2 linked regions of the Macaca mulatta genome follow. The protein of the gene in region 2 interacts with the protein of the main gene of each other region in a biochemical or structural test. Links are inferred from orthologs where the notes say so. Each region holds a gene or a part of one and is shown on either strand. Other genes may lie near its edges.

Region 1 (4,839 bases), on a different chromosome or scaffold from region 2:
AGCTCTTTGGGTTTTCCAAGTACCCCCTTCAGAACCCTTGCCCAGCCAAAGCCTCTGCCTCCCCCGGCCTGTGGGGCCCAATCTCACCTCCTCATAGGGGCTACGATTGGTACCACCAGCGGGCACATAGCGCCCATGGGTGTGGTAGGTGGGGTACTCGCTCATAGGATGGTAGGCATCCCGGGCGGGAAAGATGTCCAGCTGCCTGTAGTTCTTTTGGCGGCACTGACAGACAGCCTGGGGAAATAGGAGGTTATGGCAGACCATGGAGTGCTTTCTGTCGGCGGGGGGGTGGGCACTGATCAGGGCCAGGGACTGCACTCACCAAGGCAATGAAATAGACGATGGCCAGCACAACCAGAACACAGACCAGCACCAGGAGCGCAATGCCCCAGCCTGGCACCCCAGCCCCGGTTTGGGCAGAGAAAGGAAATGGCACATCACGCACTAAAAGGAAAAGCAGTGGTTAGGGCAGTCTCCCAGAGGAGGTGCCCCTCTAACTGCCAGCACTAAGGAAAAAGTGGGGAACTAGACACTGGTAGGAGAGGGGCCCCAGCATGGTGCTGGGCTGCAGCCGGGGAAGTAGCCTCACCGCTGATGTCTGAGATCGTCAGGTTATATCGAGAGGCTGCTTCCGTTTTACGTTGATTGAACTGTGTCTCCACATCGTGGACATTGGTGGTACCTTCTCGGAAGACCAGAGTCGATTGTACCACCACAGATCCTGGCCTGGTCACAGGGAAATGGGCACTTCAGCCACAGGTCCCAGCTCTGGCTCAGGACTCTCCCCCAACCTTGAGAGCACCAGTCCCTCCTTACGGTCATGACCAACACCCACCCTCCAACCACCACACTGAGTCCACACCCAGAACTATACCTGAACATAATATTGGAGAGGCCCAGAAAATCCCCTTGTTTATAAATCTGCAAAAACTGGGGTGAGAGGGAAAGGACTCAGGCTTGATGCAAAGGGTGTGGACAGTTCTGATGGCTGCTTCAGGGGAACATGGGAAAGGAAAGGCTGATACTCACCAATTCAGAAATGTCTCTCTGCAGCTGTTGGTAGTAGTTGGTGCTGGGATCTTCCAGAGAGGAATTAAACTGAAGGTTTGAAATGTGAAAAGACAAGAAAAAGAAAGAGACCCCAAGAGACAACTGGGGAGAAGTGCTGTGATTGGAGGAGGTGAAAGGAGGTACTGTGCTATGGTGAGTGCTACTGGCATCAGTCTTGGTGCTGTGGCTGGCAAGGGTGGTAGGAGTATCAGAGTGGTGGCTGGGAATTGAGAATGGAGTGCTCTTGCTGGCTGGGGTGGTGGTAGCCCTGGCAGAGGTGGTGCTGTGCACCAGAGTGGAAGCTGAGCCTGATGCAGAGTCTGAGGCCGAGGTGACATCGTGGGCTGGGGGTGCGGTGGAGCCCGGGGGTGCGGTGGAGCCCGGGGCTGCACTAGTGCCCGGGGCCGAGGTGACAACGCGGGCTGGGGGGCCGGTGGAGCCCGGGGCTGCACTGGTGTCCGGGGCCGAGGTGACAACGCGGGCTGGGGGGCCGGTGGAGCCCGGGGCTGCACTGGTGTCCGGGGCCGAGGTGACAACGCGGGCTGGGGGGCCGGTGGAGCCCGGGGCTGCACTGGTGTCCGGGGCCGAGGTGACAACGCGGGCTGGGGGGCCGGTGGAGCCCGGGGCTGCACTGGTGTCCGGGGCCGAGGTGACAACGCGGGCTGGGGGGCCGGTGGAGCCCGGGGCTGCACTGGTGTCCGGGGCCGAGGTGACAACGCGGGCTGGGGGGCCGGTGGAGCCCGGGGCTGCACTGGTGTCCGGGGCCGAGGTGACAACGCGGGCTGGGGGGCCGGTGGAGCCCGGGGCTGCACTGGTGTCCGGGGCCGAGGTGACAACGCGGGCTGGGGGGCCGGTGGAGCCCGGGGCTGCACTGGTGTCCGGGGCCGAGGTGACTACGCGGGCTGGGGGGCCGGTGGAGCCCGGGGCTGCACTGGTGTCCGGGGCCGAGGTGACTACGCGGGCTGGGGGGCCGGTGGAGCCCGGGGCTGCACTGGTGTCCGGGGCCGAGGTGACTACGCGGGCTGGGGGGCCGGTGGAGCCCGGGGCTGCACTGGTGTCCGGGGCCGAGGTGACTACGCGGGCTGGGGGGCCGGTGGAGCCCGGGGCTGCACTGGTGTCCGGGGCCGAGGTGACTACGCGGGCTGGGGGGCCGGTGGAGCCCGGGGCTGCACTGGTGTCCGGGGCCGAGGTGACATTGTGTCCCAAGGTGGTAGCCAAACCTGTGGCTGGTTCCGTGGCCAGGGCTAGGGTGACGTCCTGTCCCTGAGTGGTGGAGGAGCCTGAAACGGGGCTGTGGCTGGAGAGTCTGCTGGTCATACTCACAGCATTCTTAGTAGAGATGGGCATTGAACTTCTTTGGGTAGCCGAAGTCTCCTTTTCTCCGCCTGGGGTAGAGTTTGTATGACCAGAACCTGTAACAACTGTTGTGGGTTCAGGGGCTGTGGCAGCTGTGATAAGTTAAACTAATAGGGTTGGGTTGAAGGAAAAATAAGAGCAAGAAGAAAATACAAGCTCTGGCCACCAGAGAAATAATACCAGGAGGACTGGGGAGTGGGCAGCCTCAGCAGCCCCTGGGTTGGCTGCCTCCTTCCCTGCAGCAGCCTCCTTCTGTCTGCCCACAGGCCTCAGCTCCTGGCCCCTGCATTTCTCCCCTCTTAAGCCTTCCCTCTCCCTACTCCCTTCCCCCTAGACTTCTCTTCAGGACATTTGCTTGCCCCTGGCACCCACTCTTTGGGGGGGGCATCTCTTCTCAGCCTGTCCTTAGCCTCTCCCTCCTTCTGGCACAGACAGAATTCTTGCCTTTCATGGTGCATCTGCCAGGGAGCAAAACCTGGCACAGAAAGACCACGAAGACCACCTAAGCAGGGCAGCCCACTCCCCACCTTGTGCCCCTCACCTGTAAGCACTGTGAGGATCAGGAGCAGGAAGAAAGGAGACTGGGTGCCTGGTGTCATGGTGGTGGTGGACTGGGTGGGGAGAGGGCAGAACAGACTCAGGCAGGCGCTGCTTGAGAGGTGGAGCGGGCACAGGCGCCTGCTGCTTTATACCAGTCCCCCTGGCCCCCCTCCCCCCTGCCCGCCCGCCCTAGGCACAGCTGGAGCAGGTGACAGGTGACAAAACCCCGCCCCCTCCCCCTTCCCTACCTTCTACCTGTTCCTCCTCCTCCCCTACCATTCCTGGGTAGGCTACAAGGGCTCTAATCGCTCAACCCCCTGACTACCCATTTGTTCTCCAGCTGGCCTCCCCCTTTCACCAACCACTCCCTGGCTCCAGGGTGGAGTGGGGAGGGGCAGTCTGGAACCTGGGGCCCCTGGGCTCTAGTTTTAGCCCTAGGGCAACAACTAAGGTGGGAATGGGGAACAAAGACGGCTAGGTTGAGGTTCTGTACAGCAAGGCCAGGAAGCCCACCCCTAGGTCTCCCACTCCACTTCCCTGCCCTCCTTGGGTCCATTGAAGCAGAGCGGGGCCAAGAAATAAGAGGGCTGGATAATGAGTGGACTAGGTGCTAGTTTTGGGCTCCCTCCCCCCACCACTTCCCGGAATAGCCCCACCCTTCTAACCGCTCCCTGTCCCGTTCCAAACGCAGTTCTACCCTGAAACCCACAGTCCCCGCCCCAGCCGGACTTTCCAGCAGCCTGGGTTCCCTCCTTGGCATTCTCCTGAGAAGGGAGTGCGGGAAGAAATTTCCACTTAAGGGAGGAAACCTGGGCTCCGATGAACCCTAGGGTCCTTTCTTGCCACTGTCCACCACTGGCCAGGAGCTCCTCCCGCCCTCTAGTGGTCACCAGGAGCCTTGCGGGGCTGGACCGCGCCGGCTGAGGAGCTTTTCTGACCTGGCGGAGAGGAGTAAGGGCAGCGCTGCCTAAGTGGGGCAGCGAGAGCCCGCGAGAGGGAGGTAGGGCCCGGGAGAGAAGGGTCACTACCGTGGCCAGGGAGGGAGGAACGCACAGCATGGTGGACTTCTGGGAGCTTTAGGAGGGGGCACTCCTGGACGCGTGGTGGTGGCGTCTGGAGGAAATGGAGCTAAGCGGGTGGGGTCCTGAGGTATGTGGAAAGGGCACTGAGATATGTGGGAGAGGACATTGGAACGTGGGCAGGGGAGTTGGACACGTTCTGTGTGGGCCGTTATGTACTTAAGAGGCAGATCGGGCCGGGCGCGGTGGCTCACGCCCGTAATCCCAGCACTTTGAAAGGGCGAGGCGGGTGGATCACGAGGTCAGGAGTTCTAAGACCAGCCTGGCCAAGTTTTTAGTAGAAACCCCGTCTCTACTAAAAAATACAAAAATTAGCTGAGCGTGGTGGCGGGCGCTGTAATCCCAGCTACTCAGGAGGCTGAGGCAGGAGAATCGCCTGAACTCAGGAGGCAGAGGTTGCTCTGAGCCGAGATCGCACCACTGCACTCCAGCCTGGGCGACAGAGCAAGACTCCGTCTCAAAAAGGGGGGGGGCGCAGAGAGTAGTTGGGGTGACAGAATGGGATTTAGGGACAGAACTATCCTTTGGGGAGCAGAGTGGTATTGGGGACAGGTAGGTACGTAGTGGAAGGCAAAAGCACACGTAAGGTGCGTAATGCGCAAGAGCCGAGAGGTGTGTGCGGCAGCAGTGCACCAGGGGAGGAAGCTATCCCGGGCCGCGGCAGCACGTGGAACTTGGGTCCCGCAGTCGCAGGCTGCGCTCTAGGCCAACGGAAGCAGTTCCGCCTGTATTCGGAAAACAGTTCTCAGCTCCAAAGACACAGGTTGGAAAGCACTTTAAAAACACTTCGGCGAGGCACGGGATTGGAGAG
Region 2 (4,637 bases):
TTTACAATCTAGCAGTCATCATGCTATTGTTTTAATTTTTTTCCCATAGCCTCCCTCTACAACCAAATAAGCTTTTGAGAGCAAGGACTACAATTTCTTATGTTTCTGTTTTCAACAGGGGTTCCTTAGAATGCTAGCATCCTAACAAATGCTTAAAGACTCCCCTTTCTTTTAAATGTTTTTAAAGTCAAAGCTGTCAAAAACACATAATTAACACTAAACTCCAACTTTTTAAATTCTAAATTGACCTATACGGTAATCAGAAAATAAACATTTTCATCTATATATTTTACAAGAGTTACTCCATCCTTAGTATCTGCATTATCAAAAATTCAAAAGTCATTTCAAAGAAAATCCTGGAAAGAAAATGAAAAGTCCCAAAATGTAGCATTATAATCTAGCATTATAGATCTCTGAAATAAAGCTAATAAATCAATTAGCTGAAATTGATTGACTGGTTTTCAAACTATATTACCAAGATGTAAAACATACAAACACTCCAGTACCAACAGAGGCTCTTAAGTAGTTATTATAAGATTTGTATCATCATAGCTGAAAATTACCCCGGAATTTTAAAATATTTTTCAAATGACTCCATGAAGCGCTTAGAAAGCACGACCCTTCCCTGAAAGATGCATAATCAGCTGTCCTCTTTTCCTACCCCGGCATTCTCTACTTGCAAACCACCGGGGGAAAAAAAAATTAACTTTGAAAAATAATCTCCCATTCAGCTATTACCTAGACTACCCTGTTTCAGGCTAGTTCCCAAAGCCAACACGAAATGAAATCTTGAGTTCAACTAAAAGTGATCATTTTATGTTGCCTAAGAATATAATCAATTTCACATAACATACATGTTTTTTGTGTGTGTCAGTTCTTAAAATCTCAGTTCTTTAGTTCTCTCCGTTCTTCTAAGCAACACAGTAATTTCTTTGCCCTCATGATGACCCTCTTTCCCACAATAAGGAAACAACATAGATATTTTTGTTAAATTCTGAAAGTATGTTTAAACAAGCTGTCATTAAACACCACATGAACTTCTCCATAAATAGAGATACACTGGAACATTAGATACTTAGTATATACTAAACACTTCAAAAGCATACTTCTCAGCACAAACCCAGGACAAGAGTAGTCTATCTACAACCCTGAACACAGTCCAAATATCCCTATTATTTCCAGGACCACAGCCATCTGCAAAAGCCAAAATGGAAAGGACTAAAGCCACATTCTTCTAACTAAATCCACAGTTATCTAAATGTGATGGAAACTAACGCAAGAGTATTTTAAATCGTCCTTTTTAAGGAACCCTCCAGAACATTTAACAGGAGCGCAACAGTACTCCAAAATTGAACTTAAATGTAATGAGCCAGTGACAACATTTAACTTACTATTTGGCACTATGACAAAACAAATCTCAATCAAAACCTGGACCTATTAATACTTCTATGTTACCTTTTGATTAAATATAAATTATACGGTGGCAGGTTGGTAATGTCAAAACAGGAAGGTTAAGAGAGAACACATCAAACCACTAATCCAATCGAACACAAATGCATACAGAGATGCTACTGCTGCTGGGTATTTATTGGCTCCCACTAGTCCCTTCTAAAGAGAGAAATCAATGACAGCCTCCAAATGTGAATGGTTACTGAGCAAGTTCATCCACAGATTAAGAACAAATACTATGTGTAGTCATACAGACAAGAAAAAAATGTTGGGAGGGTGGGACGTTTAATGTCTCTATTAAGTATACCAAACTATGATAAATCCTGAGACCTAAAATACCCTCTTATTCCAAAAGACATACATTCTGCAAATGTGCACAATGGTTTATTAATCAAATCTTGTCCTTCTCTTTATTCTAAAGGATGGGCAAGTAAACACGGTCATCACTAACGTGGAAACACTCAAGCACTTGATGAAACTCACTACCAACAGCAAGAAAAGTATAAGAAAGCAGTTTCAAATCGAATCATCCAAATAAAAATCATATTATCTCAATTCAAGGTTAATGAGACCGGGGGAGGGGGTATGGGAGGAGTAAAGAGGGAGCTGCTTCATCCTTGACTGAAGATAGGTTTTGCCCTTTTCCATTGCTTGTTTGTTATATTAGGAAGTCTAATATTTTCAGATCCTGGTATTCCGAGATTTCTTATTTTAAGGGCGAAGTGGAAAAGGGGCGTAAAATAAAATCAATACTCACTGCTAACTTTCATGCTGCCAAAAGCTGAAGGCTGCTGCACCGGCTTGCAGCTCTCCGCAAAGGAGGTGGTTCTGGGCCGCCCTGACATGATCACTCTCTTCGCGAATCACCTTTTCCTTCCTTCCTCCTTTTCTTCCTTTTGTCTTTATGTTGGGGTGTTAGGTTAATGATAAATGCAGCATTAAGTTCTCCCACAGAAGAAAAAGAAAAAGACTTCGTCCTCTTGGTTTTTCACTCCTTTTGTATACTATAAAAAACAAAACAAGCGATGTATTTCTCCTTCAAGACAGATCGGCACGGATATTTAACATATAGATGATTTACGGCTGGGGAAAAAATACAATTCCTTCCCCTCCCTTTCCTGGGAGGAGAGAAAAGAAGGGGCAAATCCTAAAAAAATATGTATCACGTGAAACAGGGGCAAATACTTGATTGAAAATGAGTACTTCGAATATTATATTTTCCTCGGGGATTTTTTTTCCGAGTCAATGAAGAAGGGAAGCGGCGGAAGGATCACGAGTCTCACGCTTGAAGAGAAAGGGGGATGGGTAGGAGGGAGGGAGAGGGAGGGAGGGGGTGGCTCGGAGATGCGACGGGAAACGCTGCAGCTCCGGCAGCCGTGGGATCCGGCGGGCTGACGGCGGGGGCCCGGCGAACTGGAGGGCGGCGGAGTCGCGAGTCAGTCAGAGGCGGGCGGTGGCGGCGGCTCCTCTCCTCATTGCGCCAGGAGCAGCTGCAGGCGGCGGCTGGATCCAGCGGCCATGGCGGCGGCGGTGGCGGAGGCAGCTCCCTTCAGACCCCAGGCAGCGGCTCCTCGACTGCTCCCCATACGCCGGGGACATGGGAACCCGGCAACCGCTTCCGTCCCTCGGGGCCCCCTCCCCCGTCCGCGGCAACAGCTCGGCCGCCCTCCCGCCCCTCGCCTCTGTTCGGTGCCCGCTCAGGAAGTGTCCGCGCTTTGCCCCCAGCCCAGAACCCTGTCAGCGGCTGCGGGGCCGGCTCCTCCTCGCTTCCTTCCTTCCTTCCTTTGTCACTCGGCCCGGGCGGCGGCGGCAGCGGCGGCACAAGCCCGCATTCGCCCGGGTCAGGGGCTGCTCTGTGTGAGGAGCGCTGTCTGCGCAGCCGCCTTGCACTTCCCCACTCCCCCTCCCCCTTCCTACTCTTCCTCCACCTCCTTCCTCCCCCACCCAGCCTTACACCGCCCAGCGCACCGCCGCCCGCGTAACAGGCGTCTGGGAATCGCCGCCCGAGCCCCACTCTCGCCCGCTTCGGCTGGGAGCCGAAGCCCGAACGGAGCCAATCACGGACGTCGTTTGTTTGCGGCTCCTCCCGGAAAAAGCCGATCGGCCTGAGAAACCAATTAGAAAGTGACGCTGGAAAGCCACGCCCAAAGAGCGGAAAATGCCGAAGGCAGCCGAACGGAAAGGGTGATTTCGCCTTGTTCGGTGGCTGGCTGGAGGAGACATTCGACAATGGCAACAGTGGCCAATCAGAGTCGCCGGCCCTCACGAAAAAGCTTGAAGAGTTGAAGACGGTGAAACCCAGAGACGCTGGTGAAACTGCACGGTTGGGCGCCGCCGCCGCTTTGTAATTGGCTGGAAAACTCCGCTGGGAGCGTACCTCCCTCGGTGATTGGTGAAGGGAAGGGGGCTTCCGAGGACAGTTTGGCCAGTCAGGACTTCCCCTCCCTCTCCAAGGTGGGGAGAAGAAAGCGAAGGGAGGGCGTCTATAAAGCGCCGTCTCATTGGCCGGAAGCTTAGGCGCTGGAGTTGGGGCAAAAGGGAGAGGGTGGAGCTCGAAACTCGCGGCGGTGGCCAATCGGCTCTCACTGCCGTCCAATCGCAAGACTTAGCTGCAGTGTGATTGGCCTTCGGCCTCCGTCCCAGGACCTGGGAGATGCCCGACTAGGGTCGTGGCTGACGACCCGACGGCTCGCCTGCGGCCTCCAACTACGGTGGAAACCGCACATAGGGACCGCCTGCCCTAGGCGCAGCAAATCGGAAAGTGCTGCGGTCGGCGGCGCTGGGTTCTAAGAGCTCAAGCGAGCAGAGGGGTCGAGGGGTTCTCCCCATCCACAGGAGGCTCTCGGCGGGGCGCAGCCAATTCTGCGCGCCTAAGGCTCCCCTCTGCCCTGGATCGCGTGTGCCGGGTGTCGGCCTCTTCCCCGAAAGGGCCTGACGGACAAAGGGGGCCTTCCCAGCCGGCAGCAAGCTCTCAGACGCTAAAATGGGAACAAAGCTTCTTTGGGCGGCCGCGCCCCGCCCAGCCTCGGGGGCCATTGATAGAGAGGCCCGCTGCGCTTGGTGTGCGCGGCCCGGCCGGGCCTCTGGAAACGCCCATGAGAAATGAGCTCATGCTGGATGCGCGCGCTCCTTGGGCGCAACTGCCCAGCGCAAAACGGGCCCCGAAAGCAGGTGAGGGGAAATGCCGT

The links. The genes of interacting proteins can lie anywhere in the genome.
Region 1: the proteins of GSK3B (region 2) and MUC1 form a complex in vitro, tested with the Homo sapiens proteins (2 studies listed by BioGRID). The link is inferred for Macaca mulatta from reciprocal best matches to the Homo sapiens genes GSK3B and MUC1.

The regions. Positions count from the first base shown.
Region 1 is NC_133406.1:111,806,286-111,811,124, reverse strand, and holds the start of MUC1 (mucin-1), read right to left. Parts: upstream 3,066-4,839; 5' UTR 3,009-3,065; coding exon 2,951-3,008; intron 2,502-2,950; coding exon 1,033-2,501; intron 934-1,032; coding exon 878-933; intron 730-877; coding exon 593-729; intron 448-592; coding exon 326-447; intron 238-325; coding exon 88-237; intron 1-87. UniProt on the Homo sapiens protein: The alpha subunit has cell adhesive properties. Can act both as an adhesion and an anti-adhesion protein. May provide a protective layer on epithelial cells against bacterial and enzyme attack.
Region 2 is NC_133407.1:163,632,758-163,637,394, reverse strand, and holds the start of GSK3B (glycogen synthase kinase-3 beta), read right to left. Parts: upstream 3,309-4,637; 5' UTR 2,295-3,308; coding exon 2,207-2,294; intron 1-2,206. UniProt on the Homo sapiens protein: Constitutively active protein kinase that acts as a negative regulator in the hormonal control of glucose homeostasis, Wnt signaling and regulation of transcription factors and microtubules, by phosphorylating and inactivating glycogen synthase (GYS1 or GYS2), EIF2B, CTNNB1/beta-catenin, APC, AXIN1, DPYSL2/CRMP2, JUN, NFATC1/NFATC, MAPT/TAU and MACF1.